2 linked regions of the Mytilus edulis genome follow. The protein of the gene in region 1 purifies or fractionates together with the protein of each later gene. This does not show direct contact. Links are inferred from orthologs where the notes say so. Each region holds a gene or a part of one and is shown in the gene's direction. Other genes may lie near its edges.

Region 1 (6,977 bases):
TTAAGTTTTCCTGGTTAAGTTTGTTTCTTAGATACTTTTTGCAATAGGTCGCCTATATTTAAAGCATATTAGGAGTGTGGAATTACGACCAATGAACCATGAAAATGAGGTCAGATGAATCCTGACAGACAGGCATGTGCACCTTCCTTAAACCAAACTAGAAATACATATACACATTACAATCATTCCTTAAATATAGTTGACCTACTGAACATCGTGATATATCGAGAGAAAAAAAACTAAACCAGGAAAACTTAATATTGAACAATGAACCATTAAAATGAGGTCAAGGTCAGACAGACATGTACACTTACAATTGTTAGGTATACATGTATTTCTAGTTTGGTTTATCTGACCTTGTCGATCTCATTTTCTTGGATTATGTTAAGTTTATGTGATAGTTGTAATAAACAGGGCCGTAACTACATTGAGGCAAATGAGACAAATGCCTCATGTTAGAAATTTAAAAAAAAAAACTTAAACAAAAGATTGTCTTAATATCAAATTAATTTCATAGAAAGTGTCTAGCAAGAAGCAAGTTCTCTTCACTCTCTGGTGTCTGCCCCTGCATGTTTTTCGTGATCCATGTTTCTATTTTACTTTTAGTTTTCAGAGTTGATAGTCTATTGTTTGTACTTCTATGTGACTGTCCCGGGTTTGTCATTTGTTCATTTATTGTCCTACTTTGTGACTATAGCTGAGTGTTGATTTTCATTTGTAAACGTGTGGTTTTGCAATGTTTCATGCCCACCGATGTCCAGATATTGTGCGAGAAAATATTTTAAGAAGATACGATGCTACAAGACACAGAAAAAAATTGTCGTTTCTGCATGGAGAATTGAACTTGATATCAAAGAGTACAAAACTGGTTTTTTTTTTAGGGTAGATAAAACTAGAAAGCTGACATGGTTTAAATTAAAGTAAGGTCACCAATTTCCCGGATTCAAATAATTTGGTAAAAAAAAACAATAGTGTATTGCCATATGACCTAGCTTTTCTATTGAAGGGTTTAACTTGCATTAAGTCATGTTCAGACCCTCTAACAGAAAATAAAGGAATATGGAGTAAATGTGCACGAAACATAATCGCACAGAGTCAATGCATAGAAAAAATTCTAAAAGACAATGGTCAAAGTTGCTGGAGGGTCTTCAACAATAAAAGAACCAATAATACCGTAAAACAGGGTCAAGATGGTCCCTATTGTCGACTGAAGCAGTACTACTACTTAAAGTACAATCTGTCACTTTATTTAAATCTAGTCATAAAAAAATAACTATAGTCCAAGCACAATACAATTAAGACAAGAACAGACAAGACAGGTCCTGTATTAATGATTATGAGAATTACGATTTTTGCTTTATCCTACATATCGGTCTTTTAATGTTTTCCATAAAACCTAAAAGTCTTAAATCACAATGAATCTATGTTCTTGCTTTGAGACCAGATTATTGTCGAAAAATAGCAAACAATTAATTGCGTTTTAATGTCGGAAAGAATCCGGGAAACTTTCAGAATGCACGATTTTTCGTAATTTTTCTCAGAGCTTCTGGGGGCCTTGAGCGGCCCCCAAACCCCTCGTCAATTTTTTTTTTATATATATAATTTTTAAATATATTTTGCCTCACTATTAGATGAGGCTAGTTACGGCCCTGATAAATCTTTATATTTAGGGATACCAACATAAAATCAATGGTTAGCTAAAAGGGCAAGACATTTCACCGTGTGCAATCTTGTTTTTAATTCCTAACATATAAGAATAAACTAAGAATTGATTTATTTACTTATAGACTTCAATCAGTACATAGAACGTGCTAGATCAAGGATAACCATTTACAGGAACAGTGTAATAATATTAGATTAATGCTATCAAAGTCCAATCCACTATTAGCCATGCGTAAAAGACATTTTCATTGTAATGAGACTATAAACCAAATAAACTTAACCTGCACAGAGATTAAAAATATTTCTACTATGAAATTTAAAGGTGGCAATATACCAAATGATAGGAACTCATTCTGATGTTTTACCCATAAGATATCTCAGAAAATCACCTTATCACAAAAAAAAAATGTATCATAAAAAATAAAAAAATAACCACTTAACCAACAACTACCTTCAAATTATTCTACAAATCATAGATATCTAAAGAACATGTTTCGCTCACCTTGGTCTATTACATATTTAACAAAAGAAACTCTCCAACATTTTGAACGAAAATAGAATTCAAGACAAAAATCACCGTTTTATTGATATTGAGCTGCTACTCATTTAATCTGTTTAGTTTCTCTCTATTTTCTTCAGTTTCTGTTTAAAACACAACACAGGGCAAACAAATGATAAAAATTGTCATTAAAGGACGATCACTTCAATAAGGAGTCATCAGACATTTTTTTTCAATTTTTCAATTATAAATTTTGTCTCACAGATCATTTTTGCTTATGTAAGATTCTTTCTATCTAAATCTTATTTTTAAGTTATAAGGCAAAAATGCAAAAAATGGTAAACTCATGCAATAGCCTTCAAAGGGCAATAACTCTAAGCTAGAGTCGACTGACGATTTTGACCATTATATTCAAATTATTTGTAGCACTGTCTTATTGATCATTTTCGCAATTTAATGTTTATCTGTATCTTATATAATAGCTTTCAAGATAATATGCAGAAATGTAGTCTAGAGAACAAAGGTGGTAAAATTTGTTATGTAAGGGCATTAACTCTTATACAAGTCACCTGACACTTTAGACGTATACTAACAATTGGTAGTGATAAATAAACATTCTAGGCATGTTTGCCCCTGTCAGATTTTCTCTATTCATATAAACAATTTTCATAATATCAGACAAAATTCCATTCTACTTCCTATTCACTATTTTTGGCCTTGTCAGCCATATATATTGGTTGGCAGGCAAAGTCTTTAGACACATTTTCTTAAAACAAGATACCCCAATGTTTAATGTGGTCGAGTTTGGTTAAATTTATTAGTCCAGCAGTTTCAGAGAAGAAAATTTTTGTAAAAGTTATTAGTTGATGACCGATGATGGACGCTAGGTGATGAAAAACAAGAGTCACATCCTGTGATTGTATGCCTAACCTGGTGAGAGAGAAACAGTACACCATCAGTTTATAGCTAATGTTTACCTTCATTTGCGCACTCTTCAGTTACTCTTTTTGTGCTGCAAATAATGTTTGCAATAAATATATTAAACCTGGCTACTTTTTTATTTAAGAGCCAATTTTAACTTTAAAAGCTTTTCTTACAGGGACAATAACACCAAAACAGGTGTAAAAAATATCAGAGTAGACAGATCATATTAGGCCGATAATTTTTGCAGCTGTCAAAATAACAGCAAAAAAAAAAAAAAAAAAATGAAAAATGTGTATGAGGCAGGGGAATTTCTCAAAATTGGTTTACTGTTTTTTTTTCTCTCTCAAATTTTTGTGGTTAATAGATCTTGTTGTGCTGATTTATATTTTTTTTCATAATTTTACACCTTTAATCTAGCTCCTGCATTTCTCAAGATAATACTAATAGAATGCAACTAAAAAAAAAAATCTCAGACATTTTTTTTCTTAAATCTGAGACTACTTTAACAGTGTTATAGTAGTCTCAGCTTAAATCTAACTGTTGTTGCAGATTATTTTTTACTTATTTTAAAAATTATTTCCTTAAAAAAAACCTTTACAAATAGCGTTAGAAAATATCCTGCTCTTTATTATACAGTTAACATTTTAACAATATTTTGGTTAAAACAGAGAAATATAATAAATTATTGACATTATTGTATATATGAGGGTCTGGATGGGGGGGTCTGTTATTCTGTATTTAAACTTTTAATTTTCCCCCCTTTTTTCTCTATTCTTCAAAAAATTAACCCCTTTTTTCTCTAATCTTCATTTTCTAAGGGCATTTATATTCTTTAATCATTTAACCCCATCCACTCTGATTAAAACAAACGTTACCTTCCCAATTCGGATATTTTCAAGGTCTTATCCGGATTGCACTCTAAAACTGCAACAGTTTGATCATTTCCTGTTAAAAATATGGGCATTGATGAAAAGTTGAAAAGATATGAAAAACTTGACTTTCTTGGAGAAGGACAGGTAGAATTGATGGCAAAATAATATTTTTGAAACGTAAATCAGGGGATTGTATGCCATCTCTACCCAAACTAAATTTTTTTCAATAGCATTCAGGAAAAAGATTTTTTAAAAATTCATGTTTTTCCTACCATGTATTTTCTGAATATAAATAAGGATTATGACAATTTCTTTAGCCATGTCAAATTTTCAAAATGCAATATTCTAATGCAACAACGTTTGTAACGTTCATTTTGATTGGATAACGTCACTTTTTTACATGGCATCAATTGACAATTGATGCTATGGGACGTACGCCCAAGTGCAGACGACATATGACAGATTTCCCGACGGCATCAATTGGGGATTTGATGGTCGCAAATACTCATTTACTGTCTTCGCTAACGCGTTGCCAGTAAACTTAATTTGCGACCATCAAATCCCCAATTGATGCCGTCGGAGCTTAAAATACAATACAGTTATCTCCTAAGTATCAAAACAACATAAACAACGAATAATAGAGCTGAGCCATTTTGTACATATACCAAAGGGAAACTTTATGCAAAGCATTATTTATAGGTCATTTCTGGAATCATGTCTTTCACCGGAAAAGATCCTCAATTTCCCATGCCTTTATAACGTCATTTACAAGATAGAAGGCACGCCTGTATCCCTGCTATATTAAAAGTTTCCAGCACATTCACAATTGTCATTCTGTAAGATACTTAGATAGTAAAGAAATAATGTTCTGTAAGTACATAATCGTGATTGCCATATGAATGAGGGAGGGTAACCATCCTTTTAGTTTTTAATTTCCCAAATATTTTGTGCAGTATAAAGTAAAACTTTTTCATCCGTTTACTCAACATGTGTTTGAAATTTCTATGCATGCATTTTTGTCATGTGGTGATGAAGTCACATGACAGATTCGTCTGAAAACCGTATAATGGAACTGGCCTATTGTTTCATCATGTTCATTGCATTTAATAGAAAAGGGTGATTTTGTGGCAAATAAAACCAAGATTTTTTAGAAATCCACAGACTTTAAAAAAAAAGATATTTTTGTTATAAAATTTTACTGGTTTTTCTATGTGTTAGCATTTATTGATTACAAAAGTCCTAAACAACCTTAAAATACAACAAAAAACTTAGTGTACTTGAATTGGTCCATATTTTTACTTGTTGTAACCAGTATCTAATTTTATAATCTTGTTTAAAGAAAATCATTGCTAGCTCTGCATGCAATAACCCTATATCTATCAAGCACCCAATTGCAAGATACATGTATGAGAGACCAAGGGATCAACACAAGGTTAGAAAATCCTTAAGTATTTTTGTTGTTAATAAATTAAAGAGACATCTAATTAAAAAAAAAATATGTCGACTAATTTATCGAAGTAGTCATCAACAGTCAACAACATGAATATCATTTGTCATCAATGACATCATACCATTTCTATCACATTTGTAGAATGTAAAGGACTGGTTACATGTATGTAACCTGAAGCAGGTGGGAGGAAATTAAGTGTGGCCTTGAACTTTTTTTAGAATGGAACAGGGGTGTTGTCAAATTTTTATACTGAACAGATGGGGGAGGCATCGATTTTTTTTTGTACAAGATTTGAAAAGTTCTGGATGAGGTTTCATCATGGTCATTTCTGTATTCTTTAATTTTTCATGTTATATTTTCTATAATTATAAATTTTTCCTGTTATTCTCTATTCTTTATATTTTAAACACCCCATTATTCGATATTATTTGTATTTTTTAGTAGAAGTGGGTAACACTTACTTCAGGTGTCATACATTCATGACATTAATATCTCTTTTGTCAATTATTTCTTTTTAATTTTTGCCATGATTTGACTGGTTTTTTTTTATTTCAGTTTGCTACAGTATATAAGGCTAAAGACCTTGAGACGGGAAATATTGTTGCTGTGAAAAAGGTCAGTTGTACATACAGGTATCAACACATTTAATACATATATTAAAAAACATATAAATGGTTCTACATTTTTTTGTACTTCGTAAAATATGAGACAAGATAATCAAAATGACATAACTATAAAAATTGACTACAGTCTTGCATATGTCCGTCCATTTTTTGAGAAGCCTTATTATTAATAGTAGATAATCTAAAAAAGAAATAAAAACAATAACTTACTGATAAAAATTAATATTCCTATCATATGAATCAACCTCTATATTGTATTGATATATAATAAAATCTCCATTTAGATGTGTGAAACATTGAATTAAATTAAATTTTTATTTCCTAAAAGATAAAGCTCTGTGAAATACATTTCAGATAAAAGTTGGTACTAGAGAGGAAGCTGCAGATGGTATAAACAGGACAGCATTGAGAGAAATTAAACTTCTACAAGAACTTAAACATCACCATATTATAGGTGTAAGAAGTGAAACTTTCATATTTACCTCTATGGATATGTATATATGTAATTTTTAAATTACAAATCATCCTGCATATGCATTCAACATTTATCATATTTAGCAAACAGCAATCAATCAATTGACTATTTCTGTTCTTTTTTTATTTTTACGAAATATGAATTAAAAAAAAATATATACTGTATATGTAAATGAGACAAAAAAATCTGAAAAGACAACTAGATTCTTTTATAACAATGATCAACAATGAAATATCATTTCTTTAAATTAATACATTGCTTTTTTTTGTGGATGCTTTTGATTATTGTATTTTGTATTGATTTCAGTTACAAGATGTATTTGGACATAGATCAAACGTCAGTTTAGTGTTTGATTTTATGGATACTGATTTAGAGGTATGATCAATTAAGGGTTATGTTTATGTGTTCTTATTTGTTTTATTAATACAAAATATAGCAAAAAGGCAACTGTTTCTACTAATATTTTATGAGA
Region 2 (7,998 bases), on another chromosome or scaffold:
AAGCTTACCCTCCTTTGGTTTTTGTCTAAATAGAACCTCAGCTGGCATATGGAAAGACACACACATCATTTCTTTTTTAGGGGCTACATTCCTAACATTATGAATGGTAAAGTTATCTGGTAATGGTGATCCTATTGTACTCTCTATTCTCTGTTTCACATCAGCTTCAGGTGACTCACTCTTTGTAAAACAATACACATACATATAAGGAAGTAAATCAGATGATGTAGGTTTTATGTTGTCATCAATATCAACAAATAATGACTGAAATGTATCAGTAAACTCAATACCAAGAGCTGGTAAATTCATAACAACTTTCAAATTTGTCTTATTTTCTGTTTCCTTATAATTTTTCCATCTTTTTAAAATGTCAGGTTTGACTATTGTCTTGATGAATTCTCTCCCATCTAAATTACTGCAGTTTACTTCTGTCTTAATTTTGTTTAGTTTGATGTTTTTACAAAGACTTTCATAAGAACTAGGATTCAAGTCATTAGCAAAAACAATAGCTTTCCTTGATTTAGCAGCAGGTATAGCAAATGGTCCTACACCAGCAAAAACATCATAGACAATATCTCCTTCTTTTATTTCTTTAACAACCCTTTGATGCTCAGAACCTACAAGTAAACAACATATAAAACATATTGGTTATCATCAAAATTTCATGAGGGTGCATTTTATTAGAGAGGGAGTCGGTTAAGTAAAGATTAAAATATGTGATAAGAGTGTCAATGAGACATTTCTCCATCCTAGTCACAATGTGTAAAAAGTAAACCATTATAGGTCAAAGTATGTCCTTCAACACAAAACAGCAAGCTATAAAGGTCTAGTGTAAAACAAATTCAAACAGGAAAACTAACAATTTAATATTTTAATCTAAAAAAAAATATTAAAAAAATGAGAAAGACTTATGAACTACATCAACATACCACCACTGAGCAACAGCTGGTTCCTGACTAAGGACAGGTGCCAATAAATGCAGTGGGTATAAATGTTTCAACAGACACCAACCTATATAACATGCTCAATTACTGTTTGATGGATTTATAGGATATCCAGTCAGTGATGTCACAATTACTGCTTTCATATAATTTATTTAAACTGCCTTATAACATGTAAATAACAGATTACAACCATATGAAAAGTTTAACAAGAAAGGAGATAACTGACAATCAGACTAAGGGGAGATAATTCAACCTTTAAAGAGATATCTGAAACCGACAAATTCACATTTGAATGTCACTTTGGTAACTTTCACCTATCTTTTGCAAGAAAATATAACTCACATTATCAAGTTTATAAAATTATTTGTACAAGTTATACTTCTCACTTAACAACAGCAACAATACTTTATTTTAGAGAATATCATGGTTTAATAGTTTCCCAGAGGCCCTTATCATACATGTACTAAACATAAGCCTTGTGAATGATCAGTCTGGTTATCTATGCAAATTGAATTTAAATTGTCATTCAGCTATTTTTTATTACATCATATTTGTACATTGCAACTGTATATAAAAAAAATAGATATATCATCTGTAAGTAAGCTGCATGCCAAAACATGTCGCTGGTACAACCATAAATTATGCATGGAAATGTAACAAATAAAAAATCATAAAACTTACTCAATCTGGGATTCCAATATACTTTTGAGAAGTCAAACTCAAATGTAAATCCATGTTCTTTTGCTTGAGCCATCATATTGTCTTCCCCAGCTATTAATTCCATTTTAAAATTACGGAAAGTATTATCTATTTGACCAGTTTTGTTTACTACTGTTTTCACTGAAGGGTTTTTATCCATTAAAACCTGGCCTGCAATAGAAATTGAAGAAAGATCAACATACTGATACAAGGTAAGTAACATAACATGTACAAGTATATAACATATCAAATTTCTGTTTAGGTAATGTAGTAAATGCTTTTCTATCTCAGAATTTGATTTTTTTCACCAGAACACAGGAGAATGCATATGCATGTGCTGTTAGGTTTAAGAGTATAAATGGAGTTAGATACTGTAAATTCAGAAATTATTGCAAGGTTTTCATTATTGTAAAATAAAATTGATGGTACTAATTTTCTTGCACCAGATGCGCATTTCGACAATACATGTCTCTTCAGTGATGCTCGTGGCCAAAATATTTGAAATCCAAAGCTTATATAAAAGATGAAGAGCTATTATAATCCAAAAGGTCAAAAAAGTATAGCCAAATCCGTGAAAGGAATCAGAGCTTTGCATGAGGGAGATTCATTCCTTAATTTATAATAATTTTTAATATTTTGTAACAGGAAATTTTAATAACACATAAAATCCGTATTTTCATGCCAGTACCGAAGTACTGGCTACTGGGCTGGTGATACCCTCGGGGACTAATAGTCCACCAGCAGAGGCATCGACCCAGTGGTAGTAATAAAATTGACGGTACTAATTTTCTTGCACCAGATGCGCATTTCGACAATACATGTCTCTTCAGTGATGCTCGTGGCCAAAATATTTGAAATCCAAAGCTTATATAAAAGATGAAGAGCTATTATAATCCAAAAGGTCAAAAAAGTATAGCCAAATCCGTGAAAGGAATCAGAGCTTTGCATGAGGGAGATTCATTCCTTAATTTATAATAATTTTTAATATTTTGTAACAGGAAATTTTAATAACACATAAAATCCGTATTTTCATGCCAGTACCGAAGTACTGGCTACTGGGCTGGTGATACCCTCGGGGACTAATAGTCCACCAGCAGAGGCATCGATTTCTATTTACTTATACTTAAGTTATTATTATCCGGAAACCATATGTCTTCGGACGACGACAACGTGATACCAATATACGACCCAAAAATTTTTCAATTTTTGTGGTCGTATAAAAATCCCAATAATAACTGCAAGCAATAATTTCTGAATTTACAGTATACATTTTCTGGAGAAAAAAAATAATTACTGGACTCTCCAATACAGTTCTTACTTCACATGAATAAAAGAAACTGATCTTGTCTACATGTAGTTTAACACCGATTAAATCAGACATTAACCCATAAACTAAACATTTTAAAATTTAATAAAAAGACAGTTAGAGTTCAAAATACAGCTTTTAATAAAAGATTACTGTCTATATACTATACAATATATCTACAAATTCAAAATGTACATTAATCCTTGCCTAATTAATCATGCGTTAATTGACTTTAACTGTTTAAACATAAAAAGAGTCTCCAAGTAAATTAAAGCAAACAATTTTCACAAACTTTTTTTCAAGTCTTAAGCTTTCTTTTTATCTACAACAATGTAATTGAAACTGGTTGAAATATTTACAAACTTTGTAGTTATACTATTGTAATTGTATAACTGCTACATGTATGTTTTGGGGAGTTTAATATATATTTACCAATTTACTCTTATTCTAATTAACTAAAATGTAGTTTATTTCATTTTTTTCGTGTACAAAAAACATTAGAAGGGATGATGGAAATAACTAAAAATATTTGACAATAGCGAGTACAACAGATCACCAACTCCTCATGTAATAAAAAGAAGTGTAAACATGGTAAACAAAAACAAACAACATGGTCAAATTTATTTCATCTGACATTGTGCAAATGTGTATTTTTTTAATTACAGTACTCACGACCTTATTTCATGGAAAGTTGTCAATTTTTAAGTTAAGAAAGAAATAACTTTATTAGTAATAGCAGATTAATACATTTTTTACTAAAATTAGCTACCATGTAGATTTCAATATAAAAAAAGTATTGGACAAGGACACAGACACTTGTCTTTGTAAAAAAAAATTATACCAACTGTATATTGTATCTGTGTAAAGGTACATTAATACATTTGAATATGCATGCACAATGCATTTGTTCTAAAATGTGAATGCAATGTCATTTAGTGATTGACATGCATTATGATTGTACATGAAGTAATTATTACAAACCAACATTTTCTCTAACTTATATTACTAAACTAACAGTTTTCCCACAACTGCTTTAAAAGTTATCATTACCTATAATATGTTTATATTGGAGGACTTCGTCTTTTAAATTAAGATGGGCTATATGCCCTATAATGGAAAATCCAGAGACATTTGTTTTTACGATAGCTGGAATAATTTCTGAAGCTGTCCAATTTTCATAGCACAACTCTGTATCATACTTCTGAAAACTTGTCAAGTCTACGTCGGCTTCATTGCACATTTGTTTTTCTTCATTGCTAAAATCGTCTAGTGACTTGTATTTCAATGGATTGAGAAGAAATAGCTTGTGTGATTTAAAATCAGGATCAAAGTTTTCAAGATCTGCTATGGGTTTCAGTTTTGGCATCCTCAGCATTGATAACTTCATACATTTACTCATTTGTTTTATTGCTTTAATTGGTACTTTAACGCCTGGAATTTTACAAGTCCTTTTGAAGGCAGATTTGTCTAAAACTTTCATTCCTATAACATGTTTAGGGGGACACAATTCTGACACCTCAGATTCAGAGTCAATGTTATCCATTTTAAATTTTAAATTGTTGAAAATATCATAGAAATTTGATGAAATGGCCTGTAAATTAATCAGAGGTATTCTATCAAAAAACTTGTATCTTGCAACTTGGAGAAATTTATGTCCATTTGTTTCAGTTCTTACAACTACAAGTCTTTTGGAATCTATAGATGATAATCTCGGAATACATCGATGAAAAAGCTGTTTAATGAACATGAATGAAATTATTTGGTAATGAACTTTTCAAAGATAAGGACGTTTTGTCATTTCTGCATCGAGAAACGTGCAAAAATATCAACAGGAAGTTGATACTCTTTGGTCCTCTTTACTAAAGAGTGGGAGAGTTTACTAATAGGTAATAATAATACATTGCCTATTTGTAGACAAATATCTTGTTACTCCTAGTTAAATTTCATATAACTAAAATCGTTCAAAATCAATTAGTTAAATTTTATATGAAATAGCATCAAACTCAATGATATAGATCATATTTTAAAGTCTATAAAAATAGTCTCAATGATGTCTCCTTAGAATTATCTCCCTTGTATCTCAGCATGGATGATCAAGGGTGTCCAAGATGTAAAACAACTAAATACAGAAATCCTTCATTGAAATTGCTTGTTAATATCTGTGGACACTCATTGTATGTTGTACATAATGAAATTAATCCTTATGATATAAAATCCATACTTCAATGAAATTGAGTCAATAATGAAATATAAACTAAAAAGTCTAAAAGTTAAAATTTTTATTAAGATACAACTTACAAGCTTACCCAAGTTTCAGTTACAGGGTGTATTTACAATTAAGATTAAAGTGATCACAACTTGAGCTCACACTGACCTTAATGACTGGCAAAGTTGATAGATCTGTGAAAACCTAGAAAGATTTTAAAAAATAAGAGAGAGAGATCTAGAGGGAGATAGATGATATGAAGGGTACTTCTATAGTAGTGTCTGCACGACCCCACATGAGTGATGAGTTAACAAATTGGCCTTCTTAGGTTATGTGTACCCACATCTGGTTTTATAATACAATGTCATTGGATCTGGAAACTGAATCATTAAAACTATAGTATCAGTATTGGCCTGTAAAAGAAAACAAAAAACATTATAAAAATTAGAAACTAAATGCAAAAGAATAAAATTATTTTTAACTTGAAAAAAAAAATATACAAGAACTCTAGTGTGAAATAATTTTATAGTAAAATGCAGATCAGAAACTAAAACTAAAAAAAAATTAATAATAATATAAAAATGTGGTGTGATTGTCAAAGAGACAACTTTCCACAAAATTCAAATGAAGTTGATGTAAGCAATTATAGACAATCTTAGGAACTGTTTACAGTTGAAATACTACATTTGTAGACTATAAATTGTTAATTAAAGCTGGTAATACATGCATGTGAATTAAAAAAAAATTCATGTACTATGTACTTCAGATGTACTAAACTTCTGAGAGCATATAGTAAAGCCAATCTTAAGTCTTCTTCAAATACATAAAAATATTTGATCCTATTCTGTAAAACAGATGTTAGAGTTGTATAGAACAATATTTGACTATTTACCTATCTATTTTAGATGTGAAAGCTGTGTAGACTTGCTCTTCATTAAAGGTTCTGGAGCTTGTCCTGAATGTGGTACAGCATTACGAAGAAGCAATTTTAGACTACAACTCTTTGAAGATCCTTATATAGAAAAGGAAGTAGACATTCGAAAAAAGATTTTGAGAGAGTATGTTTAAATTGTATATGATCATATAATAGATCAGAACTTAACGCACCAGTCAAAGTGAGCCAGAATCTCCATCTTGGATTCCAAATTCAGCTTTAAAATAGGGCAGTCAGACCCTTATCGGGACTCTGGGATCTGGTGTTTTCAAACGCAGTATTTTGGAATTGATCCTTCATTGTCTTTACATGATCAGGGAATTCTTTTTTCGAATTTCAGGATGTCTGGATTTAAATTTCTTTAAATTTGGGACCTCTGGATTTCATGTTTTAAAGCCTGGGATTTCAGGATCCAACCCCCCTCTTAAAAGTACCTTAAAATGAAGATTGTTTTGCCTTAGATAATCAGTAAAATTAACATATGTGGCTTTGAGATTTTAACAATATCCCAACCAAGATTCTATTTTCTTTTGCAATCTGAAATACAAATAATCAATTCCAATTTTCAGTTAAAAAAACAATTCCTTCATTAAACTATGTTCAAATTAAGAAATAATTCATGGATTCTAATAGGACAAATACGGTCATTAAAATACTGAAGCTAGGGGTGGTTTGGTGTGTGTGTGGTTGATCTTTTTTACTCCCTGTTAGATAAAGCTCAAATATCTTTAAAAATCCGTAGCTTGCATGGGTTATTTCGTAAATAACCGCTAGAAAAAAAAATGTTAAATCTTCTAATTCTCAAACCCAACATTTGCCATTTTTAATTTACATGATTTTCCCGTAAGCTTCCGTCAAATCCAAAGTTGGTATTTCGTTGACTTACTGAAATTAGTAAATATGCAAATAATGCAACAGAATAGAAAATAAAACAAAAACTAACTCAAAAATCAGTTTTAATACAATATCATACGAAGTTCGATGGTTCACGTAACAGAAAACTTTCAACTTTAGCGGTTTCATTTGTATGACGTCATGTTTTGAAATGACTTAAATGCGCCAAAAAATTAATAGACTTTTATTTTGTTGATTTCTCCGAACTCTTCTGCATTACTGCTTTATATTATGCATCCGAATAAGAATAACAGTTATTTTGACTTTTTTAATTGCACTTTTTAAATCAATAAAATCGGCAAAGGGTCTGCAAATAGGTTCCAATACATGTAGATTTACGTGGGAAGTATATTGTAACAGCCATTATTATGTATCGAGAATTTTATCACAGTGTTGTTTACAAAGCGAAAGAAGCAGGTCATGTTAGAATAATTCTTTTCTTAAATATACGACACATTTATTGCAGTATCATCCTATTCCCTTTCTAGTCACCTGATTGTTTATTAATAATGCACTGAGGTAAGATTTGTCCTCAACATTAAAAAAAAAAAGACAGAAAAGAAGAGAGATTTATGGTTCTATTACATGAATCTGTTACATATGCTTGTACATTTATATTCAAAGATTAGATAATTGCAGGATGTTTAGATTAATATTCTTATTATTTTATATTGTAAAAGGTAAATAATGAAAGCTCTAATTAGTTAAACTGTACTACTAAAATAGTTGTACCTTTCTCAGTTACCATTGAAGACAGTCATGACAGAAGATGGTGTTAACTTTAATAATTAGGAGATAACTGTATTGTATTTTAAGCTTCAATTGCATCAATTGGTGATTTGATAAAATATGAATATATTTATCAAAGATTAACAGAATAAACGGGTATTTGCGACAATAAAAGCACCAATTGATGCCATCAGAGCTCAAAATACAATATTGTTATCTCCATTCTAATAAAACTGATAGAAAACAACATTAAAACATATATTTAAACTCTGACATATGTCATCTG

Evidence for each region.
Region 2: the proteins of cyclin-dependent kinase 7-like (region 1) and CDK-activating kinase assembly factor MAT1-like purify together in Drosophila melanogaster (affinity purification with western blotting; 3 studies listed by BioGRID, with this or other methods). This does not show direct contact. The link is inferred for Mytilus edulis from reciprocal best matches to the Drosophila melanogaster genes Cdk7 and Mat1.

What each region holds. Positions count from the first base shown.
Region 1 is NC_092344.1:104,148,603-104,155,579, forward strand, and holds the start of cyclin-dependent kinase 7-like, read left to right. Parts: upstream 1-3,976; 5' UTR 3,977-4,041; coding exon 4,042-4,101; intron 4,102-5,962; coding exon 5,963-6,022; intron 6,023-6,384; coding exon 6,385-6,486; intron 6,487-6,811; coding exon 6,812-6,880; intron 6,881-6,977.
Region 2 is NC_092346.1:61,994,002-62,001,999, forward strand, and holds the start of CDK-activating kinase assembly factor MAT1-like, read left to right. Parts: upstream 1-4,991; 5' UTR 4,992-5,034; coding exon 5,035-5,123; intron 5,124-6,060; coding exon 6,061-6,213; intron 6,214-7,998. Other genes in the region: tRNA (guanine(37)-N(1))-methyltransferase-like, read right to left, coding at 9-617, 1,626-1,814, 4,000-4,696.